Schizosaccharomyces pombe: one gene and its partners. The gene in region 1 interacts genetically with each later gene. Each region holds a gene or a part of one and is shown in the gene's direction. Other genes may lie near its edges.

Evidence for each region. Genes that interact genetically often act in the same process or in processes that back each other up.
Region 2: mutations in pof14 (region 1) and ubc16 together harm fitness more than expected from each alone (negative genetic interaction), as found in Schizosaccharomyces pombe (one large-scale study listed by BioGRID).
Region 3: mutations in pof14 (region 1) and hmt2 together harm fitness more than expected from each alone (negative genetic interaction), as found in Schizosaccharomyces pombe (one large-scale study listed by BioGRID).

What each region holds. Positions count from the first base shown.
Region 1 is NC_003424.3:2,244,058-2,251,449, forward strand, and holds pof14 (F-box protein Pof14), read left to right. Parts: upstream 1-1,677; 5' UTR 1,678-1,728; coding exon 1,729-3,024; 3' UTR 3,025-3,071; downstream 3,072-7,392. Other genes in the region: microtubule plus-end binding protein, EB1 family Mal3, read left to right, coding at 1-565; byr3 (translational activator, zf-CCHC type zinc finger protein), read right to left, coding at 3,886-4,425; tRNA (uridine) methyltransferase trm9, read right to left, coding at 6,315-6,920, 6,970-7,050. UniProt on the Schizosaccharomyces pombe protein: Expression is induced during oxidative stress. Plays an essential, SCF-independent, role in the stress response to hydrogen peroxide for survival, by negatively regulating ergosterol synthesis via direct binding to the squalene synthase erg9.
Region 2 is NC_003423.3:187,444-192,648, forward strand, and holds ubc16 (ubiquitin conjugating enzyme Ubc16), read left to right. Parts: upstream 1-1,963; 5' UTR 1,964-2,221; coding exon 2,222-2,476; exon of another isoform or gene 2,477-2,534; coding exon 2,535-2,762; 3' UTR 2,763-2,763; coding exon of another isoform or gene 2,764-3,774; 3' UTR 3,775-3,844; coding exon of another isoform or gene 3,845-3,971; 3' UTR 3,972-4,045; coding exon of another isoform or gene 4,046-4,233; 3' UTR 4,234-4,343; downstream 4,344-5,205. Other genes in the region: dipeptidase Dug1, read left to right, coding at 1-12, 138-1,536; asparagine--tRNA (Asn) ligase Slm5, read right to left, coding at 2,764-3,774, 3,845-3,971, 4,046-4,233; RNA polymerase I transcription termination factor/ RNA polymerase II transcription factor Reb1, read right to left, coding at 4,493-4,703, 4,755-5,081, 5,123-5,205. UniProt on the Schizosaccharomyces pombe protein: Catalyzes the covalent attachment of ubiquitin to other proteins.
Region 3 is NC_003423.3:2,588,142-2,592,918, reverse strand, and holds hmt2 (sulfide-quinone oxidoreductase), read left to right. Parts: upstream 1-1,985; 5' UTR 1,986-2,439; coding exon 2,440-3,819; 3' UTR 3,820-3,915; downstream 3,916-4,777. Other genes in the region: DNA-directed RNA polymerase III complex subunit Rpc25, read left to right, coding at 73-159, 211-479, 614-661; tkt1 (transketolase), read right to left, coding at 4,341-4,777. UniProt on the Schizosaccharomyces pombe protein: Catalyzes the oxidation of hydrogen sulfide, with the help of a quinone.

The sequences.
Region 1 (7,392 bases):
ACCTGCTAACACTCGTGTTATGAATTCCTCTGCAGGAGCAACTGGCCCTTCTCGTCGCCGTCAGGTTTCTTCTGGTAGTTCTACACCTTCAATGACTAAGTCATCAGCAAACAACAATAACGTGTCTTCGACTGCAAATACTGCGGCAGTGTTAAGGGCAAAGCAAGCACAACAACAAATCACTAGTCTTGAAACACAGTTGTACGAAGTTAATGAGACGATGTTTGGTTTGGAGAGAGAACGTGATTTCTATTTTAACAAGCTTCGAGAAATTGAAATACTTGTACAAACTCATTTGACCACTTCTCCTATGTCAATGGAAAATATGTTGGAGCGTATTCAAGCAATACTTTATTCTACTGAGGATGGTTTTGAGTTACCACCTGATCAACCCGCAGATTTAACTACCGCCCTTACGGACCATGATACTAACAACGTCGCTGAAGAGGCTCAAATGACTGACCTAAAAGACTCAGAAACTCAACGCGTTCCCTCTGCACCAGATTTCGTACATGCTAGGCTACAAAGTTTAGAGGTTGATGACGATGAGAATATCACGTTTTAAAAAGTACTAAGTTAAAGTTTTTTTTTGTTGCAAATTCTTCATTTTTCACTGTAACAACGTAAATAAAGGAAACCGAAATATTTATTTTTATAGGGAGTTCTTCTTATTCCTTATTGTTTATTTAACCTGATCGAATGTTGCGTGCCTCATGACCTCCAAATTCATTTAATTTCGTTCTTTTTCCTTAACATATAGCATTCTGTATACTACAAATGCTAATTGTAATAAACTTTAATCCTTAGTGTTTGAGCCGTCTAATTATCCCAAATAGGATATTTTTCTTATTTCTTTAAAAAAGCTTCAAGGATAATTTAAATTTATCCTGCTTCTACGTTTCAGTGATTACGAACCAAACTTTTTTATAATTAAATGTTGAAAAGTATGAATGGATGTTTCAGAATTTTATTCAATGATGCTGAAATATCTACTCGATTTAAAAAAAATTTGCATCCGATTTTAAAATCGCCTTTTTCATATATGAGCAAAATAAAGAGTAAAATATTTACTTTCAATGATCTGATTATGTTAAAACGTTTCAACTGCGTACGTCTCAGCGATGTAGAAGTTTAATTACTTATCCTTATCTTATATATATATATTGTTGACTTTATAAACCGTAGGTGTTTATGCTTGTCATTTTTACTAGCAATAGTAAAGTATGTAAAATTTTGAGGTACCTTTGTTAGTTTATTTTTTTTACTCGAACTATATCAACTTTAAATAGCAAATTTTTAAATCAAGCTTAAAGTTATGCAATTCAGCTACACGTCGTTAATAATAAATAAAACTCTTTCATTCACAATTCTTTAAATTTGCAAAGCAAAAATCTCAATAATGAAATTCAAAGCACCAAGTTTCCCCCCCCCCGCCGGGGGGTTTGATCAATTTGTCTTATCTGATCTGATAACACCAATGTTACGTCTTTCACACAAAGAATTAAATTCGATCCACATTAGTATAATATGCGAAGTATACCACTAGTTTTTATTATAAAACTTCTGTTTTCTATATAGGTTTTTATTCACCTAATTCTCAGGCCGGTATGAGTAAGTAACCATGTGATGTATAATTATGCAATGTTGATAACCGGCAAATTGAGCTTGCAGTCAGCCAACATCACCATCAACGAACTGTATATGGGTACTACTACTTAATCAAACTAAATGCTTCAATTTTCATTTCAAAATTGCAAAACGCATACATGCTATATGAATACCAGCGTGAATGAGCACTTGGATCAAGATGAATCGTTTTTAAGAATACTAATCGATACTCGCAAAAAAATAAGAAGCTCATATTTCAAGCCTCAAACATTTGATGAATTTGTGCATTGTTTAGCAAGAGTAAGAGCCATGAAGCGATTGGTTTCGATCTGTTCTAATTTTGATGAAGAAGACAATTGGAATGGTGTCTGGAATACGTTGGTTGTTGATGGAGATTCGCATGCTTCAGCAATGATTGATTATGAAGGTCTACTTGATAAATGCTCACTAAGTAGAAATCTTCTAGAATTGATTAATGATTATGCCGAGTATACTACCCAAGTCCTGCCTTTCAGAAAAATACCAAGTAGCGATAATCTTGACTCTTCATTAAATTTAACTGTTGCTTCACCTAAGTCAAATTTATATTATAGATACTCATCTGAGAGTCCTAAGTATGCAAAAATTTTGGATTGTCCGGATGAAATTTTACAGCTGATTTTTTCATATTGCTATGATGCTTCATACATAGAGAAGTTACCCTTTGCATTTTCATATAGAAAACAACGACATACCCTTATCCATGACCTCCCCAATACATGTTTACGTTTTAAAAAGATTCTCAGCCCTCGAAATGTTTCATTTTGGAAACGATTACTTAAGGTGCATAAAAAAAATCCAAATTCGGCTGTAACTTGCTCTGAGTCTATAAACACAAGTGCTGTGGCCAAATTTACCGATATCCCTACAATCATTCCAATTTTTCTTGATCCAAGTTATCAAAGTTATGCAGCAAAGACAATTCATTCTGATACTTCTTCGTTAGCCTCCTCGATCATCCAAACAGGAGATGGAACACAGTCATGCGATGAGTCTACATATATAGAGCTAGCATGCAATCTTGTAGGCCGTTGTGTGCTTTGCAATAGAATACCGAAGTTAACTAAGTTTAAAGATTGCATTACCTCATTTTACCGGCCTTCTGTTGCTACCAATATATGTGATCAATGCTTAGAAGCAATCATTGACTTTTATGAACCTGTAAGTAGATACAAATTTGATGTTATGAAAGATCGTTTAGGGGTGGGATATATAAGCAGGCCTGGTCAAAAATTCCCCTCTTGGTTATCGGAGCATGTTCAATTGGCTAGGGATGAAGAGAAAGCGTTCAAGAGTATTTACCATTCTCAAGGTGAATTTGCAAGAAGTTTATTTCGTTTGTTTCGAGCGCAGTTGGCTGAGTTATGTGAACAATAAAATTTTGGATTAATATACTACGATTTTATGTAATAGACAAATTCGATGTCAAATTTGTATGAAAGTAAAATTGAAGTTAATAAATTTTTTTTTGTCTATGACAACTGTTACATTTATCGTTCACCCGTTTTCAATTACAGTTCATTTTTGAAAAGCAGAGTAAGCAATGCAAGGAAAAAATAATATTAATTAGGCAAATGACCCAGAACCCTTTTGTAAATATTGTTATACAGATACCATGAGAGATTAAGAAGTAGAGAAGTTGTTAATAAGTCAGAGCATTAACATTTACTGTACAAACACATAAGGTAAATTAAGTTACTCAAAAAATACGAAAACGCCAAAACCCATTTCGTAAATGAAATTGATAGTGAGTTGTCATATAAAACCAAAAGTTCCATTAAATAATGGCACTAAAAAAAACAAATCATCCAAATGGACCAAGGAATTTCTATCATTTATAGAATTCCCATATTCCAAATTTTTTTATTTCAAGCTCGTGAATTGAAAATAATAGGAAAAAAATGCCACTACAACAGTAAAAATAAACTGAAACAAAAAGGATTTAATCTATCAACATCCATCTTTTAGCGGTGACGAGAAAACAGGAGAGAAATGAGGTGGTGCATCTCAGGCTTCAGTACAAATATCCTTAAGGATCCGAAGCAAAAATGAATTCAGAAGTGTGCGAAAAAATAAGGACGAAGAGAAGGATGTAAAATTATGCTTTCTATATAACTAAATGCGCAGATCGCTCAAGGGATTTGTAAGAATATGACCACTTGCCAAATTTGAATAAATCGGACAAGAAAAAGAAAAAATATCTTCATACCACGACAAAGGGTTATAAATAGCAAGCACTTATGCCTCAATTACAGGAGAGGTGCAATTGACGGCGATGTGGCCTGGTTGATTACACTTGTAACAAAGTTGACCATCTGAAGCTTGTTGACATTCAAAGCTGCGGTGTCCAATCTTACCACAAGAGTAGCATTTCACGCCCATAGTGCAATCACGGGCTTGATGGCCATAAGAGCCACAAGCATAGCAATTCATGTTGGAGCGATGACCACCAAATCGTCCGCCACTTTGTTGACCATTTGTACGACAGTCTCTAGCAATGTGACCAACACGACCACACTTGTAACATTCCGCACCTTGACGGGGGTTAGGGCTGCTGGGGCAATCACGAACGAGATGTCCGGCGGTACCACAAGCATAGCAAGTTTTTTCCTGTTGAGGCTCAGTGCATTCGCTAGCCTTGTGACCGGTCTGATTGCAATTGTAGCAGATTGAACCCTTGGTGCACTCACGAGCTTGATGACCGTTTTCACCACAGTTATAGCATCGAGGACCGGGACGAGTGGTTTGAGGAACGGTGGGAACAGATTCAGACTCCATCTTAACAACTCCTTTACAATTAAAAAAAATTATTAAAGAAAATTAAGAAAAATAAAAAAAAACAGAAAAAATGTACTTTTTCTCGCTAACCTGACTACACTTCCTTAATAAATAGGAGCGTGTGACTGTCTAAATTTTTCTTAAGTAACAAGCACATGGTGGCACTTGGAAGTAACGAATTTGACAAGCGACTATTTTGGTCTTAAAGATGTCAATAAATAAGAATTTAGTTGTTTTAGACCGACGGAAGAAGCACAACAACTTGCCAATTAAAAAGAGTCATGGAATCGAAGAATTGTTACCGCATACTTGCTTTTTTTTGTGATAGAGAGTGTAATATCTTACATAACTAGTAAGCTCACTCTTTCCCATAAACTCAGGACTTTTTGGTTCTGACAATAGCTTTATATCATAGCAATTATTGCCTCCTCATTGTAATGTAGATTGGTATTCCAAGCGAATATAACCAAACGCTTAGTTACTTTGAATCGTGGTAAATAAGCATCGTTATTTTTCATGGCAAAAAATCGTAGAAACATTGCATTCACAGTATAGCGCCTGAAGAATTGAGTTCAGTCATTTGCAATATATATATTACTGGAATCTATAGTTGTACATATTTTAGGTATCCAGAGTACCACGTGCTTGAATTCAAACAAATCAAAATAAATCCAAAAATTGTTTTGGTAAAAAATAATGCTTTGGCCGGGAATCGAACCCGGGTCGAATCGATGGCAACGATTCATTATACCACTAAACCACCAAAGCTTGTTGAGGTTTCGATAAAAAAAGATTTAATTATATTACGCGACGATATATCAACATAATAATTTTAAATAGATAATTAGGATCTTGGAAATCTTTTTATATTTTTCCTAGACTTTATGAATATAACAAATACGAAATAGAAGGTGAATGGAATAGAAAAAAAGTAATCATTCGACTAAGGAGCAAAGAACTGCTGATTACTTCTTTATTTGAATTTAGCAACCAAGAATTTATTAATGCATGTCGGATTATTAATTTAATTCATGCAGTAAGTGTTTTGCCAAACTATTAATTGCTTATTTTTTTCTCTTTGGAATTCGTTTTGGTAAATAGAAAAGCAAGTAACTTAGTCGCATTTAAATTATTAAATTCAAATCAAATTTTGTACGTTAATTACTATTCCTATTTGTGGCTTAATAAATTTTGTATAATTCCTACATATTTTTTACAATTTATCATTATTATTGGGACACGTTTATTCAAACACTGTTTTTTAGATAATTCATTTCATACTCAAGCACAGATTTATATTAAAAGTTTAACATATACAGAAATGCATGATTATTCCAAATTATTCTAAAAAAAAATATTTTTTTTTTGAAATTTATTCATTTTACAAAATGTTTTTGCTTGACATACTTCATCGATTTCCAATACTTATGCAACCTTTGAACCGTCATTTCACTAACCTACGTGAATAAACTATTAACAAAAATTAGATTAACATTTTAATTTCCAACCCATTCACAGATGTATAGTATCATTTAACAGAAAACCACTTCAATCGATATCAAATTATCACTATTGTCATACTAAGAAACCGTCAATTTTTTTTTTGAAAACAAGTACATTTGACCGCTTTTCGCCCTTGGGAATGACTAGTTCATCGCTTCATTTTATAATTAAACGCAGTAAATTAATAATCGAGACATAAAACACAGAAATTCTTCTACCAGTTAGATTAAAAAAAAAAATCTGTAAAATCATTTTCCGAACGAAAATAGTTTAAACTATGTAATTAAGGTAAAATAGAAATATTCCAACTTTTTGAGAACAAGTTCAAGAAAGATGAAAAATCTGTTCTATCAAGGTGATATGACGATCAATTTTCATTCCAAAACTTAGTTTTTTTCAGCAATTACCCACCAGTTATCACGGTCGTAGCCATGTTCCAATATTGAGCCGCCTGCGGTCTCTACTAACTCATTTAATTCACCCTTGCGAAATAAATGGTAGTAACGTTGATACGCAATATTTTCAGCAGGATCGTGCCCCTTTAATTCCTCCGGCTTTGCATTTGGATACTCATATTGCCTTTTTAATATCCAAGGAACATAAACGTCCTGCGGTCCGTCTTCTGAAAAACCACGCCTTGAATTCTTTTGTTCTAAAGCCCAAACAAAAAATAGTGCTTTCCCTCCTTTTACTAATGGTCTTAAAACTTCCTGAACAGCTTGCAACCTTCGGTTTTCATTGCTGAAATGATGGATTACAGCTATGCTTAAGGCAAAATCAAACCGATTGCTTGGATGAGGTACGTGCAGGCCATCAGAAATAACCATAGGACCTAGATTGCTTGCTATTTTAACAAGTTTTACGCAACGATCGCTTCCTATCATGTAAACATTTGGGTTAACCTTTTGGTATTTGCCATTTCCGCACCCAATGTCTACTCCTACAGAGCCCAAAGGCAAAGATTTTAAAAATTTTTCAACCACTGGCCATGGCTACAAAATGACTGATTAGCTTTAATTAAATATCGTTGTATTAACTTACCTTGTATCGAGTATCTGAGAAATGTGTTGCAATCTTATCATATACTTGATGAACATATTCATTTTCGTACTCTATTTCCATTTTAATATAAATAAGTAAAAATTTGTAGCCTTTGAAGCCGATTAAAATACGTCTCGAAGGTTGGGTAAGGTTAGCAAATGGTAAAACTAAAACGATGGGTTATAGGGATGTTAATTTCGAAATTAGAGATTGAAAATAATTTCCATTCCTTTGTTTATTGCCATGGTTCAAAATTAAGGATTTCATTATTCTTTATCATTTAAAGCAACAACTAAAACAAATTACAGCTACCAGTAACACAAAAAAAACGGTGATGGTACTAAAAGTATCCCGTTACTTTATTTTGCAATGCGCAAACTGAGATAAAGCCTTTTCTATGAATTTGAATTTTAATAATGATTA
Region 2 (5,205 bases), on another chromosome or scaffold:
GTTATACGAAGTGTAAGTAAGGATCTTTCTTGAAGAAATTAAAGAAAAGTAGACAGTTGTTCAGAATTGCCAGAGGCAAGTCTTATTTCTTTATTTTATTGCAGATTTCAGAAAGCGACATGCCTAACACTTTATAGTATAGATAAGAAGAAGGATGAGTTTGTTACTAGGCTTTCACGGGCAGTTTCTATACCTTCTGTCTCTGCCGATGTAACGCTTCGTCCCAAAGTTGTAGAGATGGCTGACTTTGTGGTTAGTGAGTTCACAAAGTTGGGAGCCAAGATGGAGAAGCGTGATATTGGTTATCATCAAATGGATGGACAAGACGTTCCTCTGCCACCTATTGTTCTCGGTCAATACGGAAATGACCCTTCTAAAAAGACTGTTTTAATTTATAATCACTTTGATGTTCAGCCGGCTTCATTAGAAGATGGATGGAGTACTGACCCTTTCACGTTGACAGTTGACAATAAAGGACGCATGTTTGGTCGCGGTGCTACTGATGATAAAGGACCGCTCATTGGATGGATTTCGGCCATTGAAGCTCACAAAGAACTTGGTATTGATTTTCCAGTAAACTTACTCATGTGTTTTGAAGGAATGGAGGAATACGGCAGTGAAGGTTTAGAAGATTTAATTCGTGCAGAAGCTGAAAAGTACTTTGCTAAAGCAGATTGTGTTTGCATCAGCGATACTTATTGGTTGGGTACCAAAAAGCCAGTTTTAACTTACGGCCTCCGTGGTGTTTGTTACTTTAATATTACTGTCGAAGGACCATCTGCTGATCTGCACTCTGGCGTTTTTGGCGGTACTGTGCATGAGCCTATGACGGACTTAGTTGCTATCATGAGTACTTTAGTTAAACCCAATGGTGAAATTTTGATTCCTGGTATCATGGACCAAGTAGCAGAACTCACACCTACCGAGGATAGTATTTATGATGGAATTGATTATACAATGGAAGATTTGAAAGAGGCGGTCGGTGCTGATATTTCTATTTATCCCGATCCCAAGAGAACACTTCAACATCGCTGGAGATATCCTACACTTTCACTTCATGGTATTGAAGGTGCCTTTAGTGGCAGTGGTGCTAAAACGGTTATTCCCGCGAAAGTTATTGGTAAATTTTCCATTCGCACCGTCCCCAATATGGAGTCAGAAACTGTTGAACGACTTGTTAAAGAACATGTAACAAAGGTTTTCAACTCTTTGAACTCGAAAAACAAGCTCGCTTTTAACAACATGCACTCTGGAAGTTGGTGGATTTCTTCTCCTGACCACTGGCATTATGATGTCGGTAAAAAAGCCACTGAGCGTGTTTACGGTATAACCCCAGATTTCGTTCGTGAAGGCGGTTCTATTCCAGTAACTGTTACTTTTGAGCAATCTTTGAAGAAAAATGTTTTGTTGTTGCCTATGGGCCGTGGTGATGACGGTGCCCACAGTATCAATGAGAAATTAGACCTTGATAACTTCCTTAAGGGCATAAAACTTTTCTGTACTTATGTTCATGAGTTGGCTTCTGTTTCTCCTTAAAATCCCTTTCGATTTAGCGTTAAGTTAATACTATCATGATATTGGTGTGTTTACTTTGTATTGGTAGATTCTGTACGTTAAATATTATAAATCTTGTTATTCGAAATTATTTACGCATTCTTTTAATGAATAAACTTTGTCATTGAATCCGAGTAATATGCGCTTGCGAGCCTTGGTATGTAACTGAGTGATTTCATGTCTGCAATTCTATATGATTATCTAGAAATGAAAATTCTGCAAAGTCAAATAAAATACGAAAGTTAGGAATAAGATGTTGTTTACTTCATCGTTTATTTTTAATAATCAGCTCCAAAACTTGTATTACCTGTAATGCAATCTGACTTTTATTTCTTTAAATCAAATATTGATGCTTACCGTGTTGTAACGAACTAAAGACGAATTTCAAATAAAACACTAACATTTCTTTACTATGCCACTGAGCCTTAATCAAATTTCGGTTACCTTCCGTTGAATAAGGCTAATTAAGGATCGCTTTGAGTGCATTTATGTATTAACTTCTTTTTACACAACTTAGTGAGTACACCTGGTTTTGTTTGCTTCCAGCAACACCTGCGAAACCGGTAATCCTTGAAAATTTAAATCTTCTTAGATTGACAAGCTTTGCTATCTAGAGTTGATGCATGCTAGAACCTAAAATAGAAACGAGTGTTATGAATCTTGACAAATGAATAGTTCAATTAAACGACTTCACAAAGAATATGCCAGTTTCCAGGCTGGAGATATATCTGGTCTCTTACTTTTAAAACCGGTCACTGATGTTGATATGTTCCATTGGAAGGCAGTCATTGAAGGACCTACTGAAACACCGTATGAAGGGGGGCAATGGGTTCTCGATATTCATGTTCACGAAGGGTATCCTATTAGTCCCCCGTCTGTGTATTTTCAAACAAAAATTGTACATCCGAATATTTCATGGACGGTAAGCCAATTTAAATAGAGTTTTTTAGATTACATTCATTAGCTAACGTCAATGGTAGAACGGCGAAGTATGTATGGACATATTAAAGACACATTGGTCGCCGGCCTGGAGTCTACAATCTGCTTGTTTAGCAATTATCTCTCTTTTAAGTAATTACGATGCTAGTTCTCCATTAAATGTAGATGCCGCCAAGCTGTTGAGAACCGGGGACAAAACGGCTTATAATTCATTAGTTCGATGTACAACCTATCTTTACGCCAAAGGTAAGATAGAAGATCTTTCATAAATCATGCAAAAATGGATCCTACTGAACGGGGGAAGGGTATAGTTTCTTTTACGTTCGTGTTTTCTCCTTCTAGAAAAGCAATCAGTCGTTCTATCCCTAAGCCAAACCCTCCGTGTGGCGCATTGCTGTACTTCATTAGGTCTAAATACCATTGAAGTTCTGGTGGGTAAGTTTTATACTCATCTAAATGGTCTTTACGTAAAGAACCTCCAGCAAGTTCACCCACCTGTGGAACGAGTAAATCAACAGCAGCAACTGTATCGGGCCCAGAGGATTTCATATAAAACGGTTTAATTTTTTGTGGATAGTCCGTCACGAATACCGGAGTTTTATGTAAGATTTCACAAAGATATTTTTCATGTTCACTACTTAAATCGTTTCCCCATTTAGGAGGGTATTTCCATGTTTTTTTCACAGCGCTTAATTCTTCTATTGCTTCAGAATATGTCATGCATTTCCACGGTTTAAGCAGTTGGTCCCAATGATCTCTGTGATAGTTCTGCTCCATCAATGAATTAAGAGTATATTTAATCATATCCTCCATAAGTGATGTTAGTTGTGAAAGCGAAGTCATGAACGCAACTTCTGCTTCCAGCATCCAAAATTCTGCCAAATGTCGACTAGTATGACTTTGTTCTGCTCTAAATGCTGGCGATATAGTATACACTCTGGACAGTCCTAATGCTAGAGCCTCTAGATGCAATTGAGTGGATACAGTTAAAAATGCAGGTCGGTCAAAAAAATGCTTTTGATCATCTCTTTCAAAACTTTTATTTTTATGCGTCTCCTGGGGGGTCAAGGTAAATACTTCACCAGCTCCTTCACAATCAGAAGAAGTTATTATCGGGGGGTTGGTCTCTGTAAAATCTTTGCTTGAAAAAAATTGTCGCAATGCTTTTAATGAATCTGAACGGAGACGAAAAATCTCCCCTTGTTTTGCTGTTCGTAATCGAAGATGGGGTATTTGTCGTAACATTTCAGTAGTCAAATGTTTTTTCTGAATAGGGTAGTTCTATATTCCGGATTAGAATTTAATTCTATGGCGATAGACTTGCAGTATATTCAATTTTGAAAGCACATACATCATCATTTATCTGGCCGTAAATTTTTATTTTCTCAGCCAACAGTTCATACTGCTGCAATCCAAGTTTTGCGTTTTTAGAAACTGCCAACTGGCCTTCAATATTCACACTAGCACCATATGATAGCCTTGATAATAAATTAATGTTAGTAGGAAAAAGATATCATATAATTTAGATTTTATGTCTCCTCCTCAACCATACTTCTTACTCTGTTCAGGCGAAGTCACCACTTGAAGGGCTTGTTGACATGTACCATCAGAAACCATGGCAAAACAAACATTTTTTAGTTTTCGGATAGATCGTACCCAGCCGTTTATGCTTATTAACTCTCCATTATGTGGGTGATGCCATAAAGACTTTAAAGTTTTTGGTAGTTGGAATTTATTCATACGGAATTAGCAAACAATTCAATTTTAATTATTAATTTACAAAAAATCCTCTATTGCTAAGGAAATTATGAATTCTTCCAAAAACTATTCGCCAATAACTAGAAATGCAAAGAGCGGTAGTAGTAAGGCGACTTTACATATCCTCAGTATGAAGGTGTTGCGTTAAGAATTAAGTCATTTTAATAAGGACTTGTAAAAAGATACAAAGTTACTTAAGTAAGTTAAAACAAATTTTTTCGTTCAAAAAATTGTAAGGACGTCAATTGGAGAATCCAGAAAGTACCACTTTAAAGTCATCAATGGCTGACTTCGTGGCTTCTAGAAGAGGAAGATTGTCGTAACTTGGTATCATTTTTTTCAAATTTATAAATTGAAACAACATCTGATCGCGTGTCCATCGTCCATTAGCTTCTTTTACGATATTTTCCCAATGAATTTTACCACCATTGTTCAATAACGAGTCGTAAATCCTTAAATTAAAATATTAGCAAGCAAGAGAAATTATGTAGGTCAATACTTACCTTTCTAAGAGCCAAACGTTTTCTTGAAGTTCAAATTTTGAAGCAGCCTTCGTCAATTGCTGAAATTTATAACGACACTGTAAACGAGTCCTAGTACCTAACATTTGGGCAACAAGCGTCCAATTAATGTCAGAACTTAAGTCTTCACGGTTACGGAGTTCAGCAACTATTTGCAATAACTGAGTTTCCTCTTCCAACGACCAAGCATTTCGTTTCAATTTATCGCCAAAACGTACTACGTCGCGCCAACGATCACGACAATCATTAGGCATTCGAGCCATTTTACGACCAATTTTCGTCCAGCATTTACCATGTTCAACAACATTTCTAAACGTTAATGATTTTTGAATAAAAATATAAACACATACTTTCTTAATTCTTCATCTTCTTCTTTGCTCCACACACAGCGATCTTCAAACGGGTTATATGCACGTCGTACATGGTGATAAAT
Region 3 (4,777 bases), on another chromosome or scaffold:
TATCAATACGAAAGGCTGTCAGGATAGTGATTCAGTGGAAAAGAAAAACTTAAATGGTTCTAATTAGATTAGTGGTTTTCCGCCTTATAATCTTTCGTCCTTTTCGAGGTGAAGTAATGCTGGGAAAAATAAAATCGTGCAGTGAAGAAGGTATTCGGGGTATGTTAAATGTGTTTGTTTAAATGCTTGTTGTTAATGTTTTTCTCCCAGTAACTATTAGCTTTTTTGACGATATTTTCATTCCGAAAGATATGCTTTTCGATCCATGTGTCTTTCGTCCGGATGAGCGTGCCTGGGTATGGAAAATTGAAGGGGAGGACGGCTCAGAGGGAACCGAATTGTATTTTGACATTGATGAAGAAATACGCTTTCAAATAGAATCTGAGGACTTTGTTGATATTTCACCTAAGAGGAATAAAAATGCAACCGCGATTACAGGCACAGAAGCATTGGAATCGGTATCCCCATATACATTGATTGTAAGTTTTTTTTTTTATGTTTAGGGCGAAACTTGTGTCATTATTTATGAAGGGTGCACCATCTATTTGCTAGTATACAAGAAAATATTTTCTGCTTCTCTCAAATCGATAGAATTTACTAACTATATATTTAGGCTTCCTGTTCTCGTGATGGACTGGGCATTCCTGCTTGGTGGAAATGAGCTATTGGATTCGAATCAAAGTCAAACAAAATTTAAAAGCATCAATTAATCATTTACTCCAAATTGTATAAGTAGACTTTCATTCATGTTCTATTTTTCTTCATCTAATGCATCACCAAAATTTCCCAAAAATCACGTGGTCTAGAAAATGGTTGCAATTCTATTCTGTACATTCATCCCGTCTTATAAATTTCATTGCCGAAGGTTTTTGCACAAACCTTTTGGGGTTTTATTATTTCGTTGGAGATACCTGTGTTGTTTTTAGACATGTCCTACTTAAAGGTTGCTTTTAGTGAAAAAGGGTTATTTATAAATCAACTACTTCTTTTTTTTTTTTTTTTTTTAGCTTTTCTCTATTTAAAGGTATATTATTGTATCGAAAAATCAGTTTGTTTACATCTTTGCACAGCAACACATAATGGTTATGAAAACGGCGTTCTTCAAAATTTACCTTCTTGGATGATCATGGTATTTGCTAACAGGGGGCTACTTTAATAAAGGTACTTTCATGTCAAGCTTAAATTTAATCTGGTTAAAAGAGTCATATGTTCTAAAACTTTATATTCAATCTAACAACTGAAGATTCCGCACTGCGTAAAGGAATTTTTCAATGTTAAACAAACGATCCATGCTATGTATGATTTGATTGATTTTGGTATTGTGTATACTAATGTTTAGTAGTATTACCGAATATGGAAAATTTAATTAATTACACAAAAGAGCCGATTCATTTTATAGCATAATAGAATATCAGTCTACTTTTTATGAACAATGTTTGCTTCTTCAGCAAAGAATGTCCATCGCCAACCCACGTTACTCTTTAGTACAGCCGATTTTCGTTATATGTCAGAAAATAGCAACCTTAACATTTCAGCGCCTTGCTATTTGCTATTTGAAAATGACCAACAGCAATTTGACAAACTTCTAATTTTGTTGTATTTGTGCACAAATGCATGGACGTTATAAAGGATTCTTTCGGCTACTGTACTACTTTAGGGATAAACGAATATTTTTGCAAAATTAAAAATACACATACCCACAAAATCATTCACTTTCTTACTTCTAGTACTATTATTAATTTACGGAAACATGCATTAAGCAGCTTTTATGAGTTCCTTAAGCCTCGATAGCTTTTGCTTTACAAACTTTAATGAAACTTAGCAAATCCACGTGATTTGCCCCTAAAATGAATAAAGTTATGCCACATATTTCGGAATCACAAGCAAAGCGCAAGCACTTGACAAAATTGCGTAACCGATTACGCCTTCGGAGCTGACGTGAGTTATCGACTGAATATAAACACCTTATGCTGCTAATTCTGATTAGTCGACTGTATTTGCAAATATTTTCTACATAGGCTTGTCTTCCGTTAATTCTATTTTGTACACTACACCATTCTTTTTAGACGACAGCCGGTAGACTAAATTGTGCTTGTTTCTTGAACAATTAAAGTACATTGAAGAGTGCATATAAAAGAAATAAAAAATTTTTTTTTTTCTTTTACTTCGCTTGAGTCAAAACAGACTAGCACTTATTCTAGTACACTTGAAAGGTGGTGCTTGTTTGACTACATTCTTTGATATTGTAATCAAAAATTTTTTTTTTAAAAATTCCTTTTCTCCTGATTTACTTATTGAGGTGTTAAATTCTTGAAATTTTAAACGCGTTTTTTCCGCTCAACCTCTGTTTTCTTGTGTTTTATTAGGCTACTTTTTGCCTCCTTTTTTTTTCCTTTACCTTTAAAAAAACACTTCTCTTTTGCATTTTTGCAACTAAAAATGTTGACCTTAAACTCAACAATCAAGTCGGTCACCGGCTCATTTCAGTCCGCTTCCATGTTGGCTCGATTCGCCTCTACCCATCACAAGGTTTTAGTAGTTGGTGGTGGATCCGCTGGTATATCCGTCGCCCATCAAATTTACAACAAGTTTTCTAAATACCGCTTTGCCAATGACCAAGGCAAAGATACATCCCTCAAACCCGGTGAAATTGGTATTGTGGATGGTGCCAAGTATCATTATTACCAACCTGGTTGGACTTTGACTGGTGCTGGATTGAGTTCTGTTGCTAAGACCAGACGAGAATTGGCTAGCCTGGTTCCTGCTGACAAATTTAAACTCCATCCTGAATTTGTTAAATCCTTACATCCTCGTGAAAACAAAATAGTTACTCAAAGTGGTCAAGAAATTAGCTATGATTATTTGGTTATGGCAGCTGGTATTTATACTGACTTTGGCAGAATCAAGGGTTTAACTGAGGCTTTGGATGACCCCAACACCCCTGTAGTTACTATCTATTCAGAAAAATATGCTGACGCTGTTTATCCTTGGATTGAAAAAACCAAGTCTGGAAATGCCATTTTTACTCAACCCAGCGGTGTCTTGAAGTGTGCCGGCGCTCCACAAAAGATTATGTGGATGGCTGAAGATTATTGGCGTCGTCATAAAGTTCGTTCCAATATTGATGTATCCTTCTACACTGGTATGCCTACTCTTTTCTCGGTTAAGCGCTATTCTGATGCCCTTCTTCGCCAAAATGAGCAATTACATCGCAATGTCAAGATTAATTATAAAGATGAGCTTGTTGAAGTTAAGGGATCTGAACGTAAAGCCGTATTTAAGAATTTAAACGATGGCTCTCTCTTCGAGCGTCCTTTTGATCTTTTGCATGCCGTCCCCTCTATGCGTTCTCATGAGTTTATCGCAAAGAGTGATTTGGCTGATAAATCTGGTTTTGTTGCTGTTGATCAATCTACTACACAATCGACCAAGTTCCCCAATGTTTTCGCTATCGGTGATTGCAGTGGTTTGCCAACTAGTAAGACTTACGCTGCCATTACTGCACAAGCTCCTGTTATGGTCCACAATCTTTGGAGTTTCGTTAATGGAAAGAATTTAACTGCATCATACAATGGTTACACTTCATGCCCGCTACTCACTGGCTATGGTAAGCTTATCTTGGCCGAATTCTTGTACAAACAAGAACCTAAAGAATCTTTCGGTCGCTTTTCTCGTTTCCTTGACCAAACTGTACCTCGTCGCATGTTTTATCACCTTAAGAAGGACTTCTTTCCTTTTGTTTACTGGAATTTCGCCGTCCGCAATGGTAAGTGGTATGGCAGCAGAGGTTTGATTCCTCCTCACTTTCCTGTTAATTAAAGATTCAATCATCTTTCTTGCGTAAAATAATGCAATCTGCTAGGCATGATTTAGTAGCAACCCTTATATAATTGAATGTTACCCCCTTTCCTTACCATACCTTTACTAGGTTTATCTTTGATTAGAAAAACAGTGTTGATTATTAAGTACTCTAAAGTTATGTACGTCTGTGAATGTTTGAATAAAGTTATTAAATAAATATCAACTTTTTACTTCTAATTTTAAATATGAATAAAAATAGTTTGTAATACATCAACTATAAACGCCAGTAAACTGCACTTACATTGACTAAAGTAGATGCAAAATTATTGTAATACTCTACTCACAATTCCAACTATATCGTCGAATATCATATATACAAAAATATATATATTTATGCATTCATATTTTGCTCACATTTATAGACTTACATTCAAATAAAGACAAAACACAATTCACTCATAACTACTTCCTTCCGCACGAATTGAATTCTAAGCCAGCAAATCAATCCTAAAAGAATCTAGAGAAAAAATGCTACTAAATTAGAAAGCACGGCGGACAGGGGAACGAATATAAGGGATATCCTTGTAAGCATCAACAGTCTTTTTGGCACGTTGAGCAACACCAGAGGTGGTGAAATGGAATTTCTCGTATAATTTGGGAGCAGGGCCAGAGTCACCAAAAGTGTGCATACCAAAGGCCTCGTGAACGTAACGTCTCCAACCATTGGTAGCCCAAACCTCGACGGACATAGCAGGAATACCGTCAGGAATGACAGAAAGACGGTAGCTTTCTGGTTGTTGTTCGAAAACTTCCCAGCAAGGCAATGAAACGACACGAGCCTTCAAGTTGTACTCGGTCTCAAGGGTCTTGACAGTGTCAATGCAAAGAGAGACTTCAGAACCAGTACCGACAAGAGTAATATCGGCCTCCTTGTTCTCCAACATGACATAACCACCCTTAAGAGCATTTTCAATAG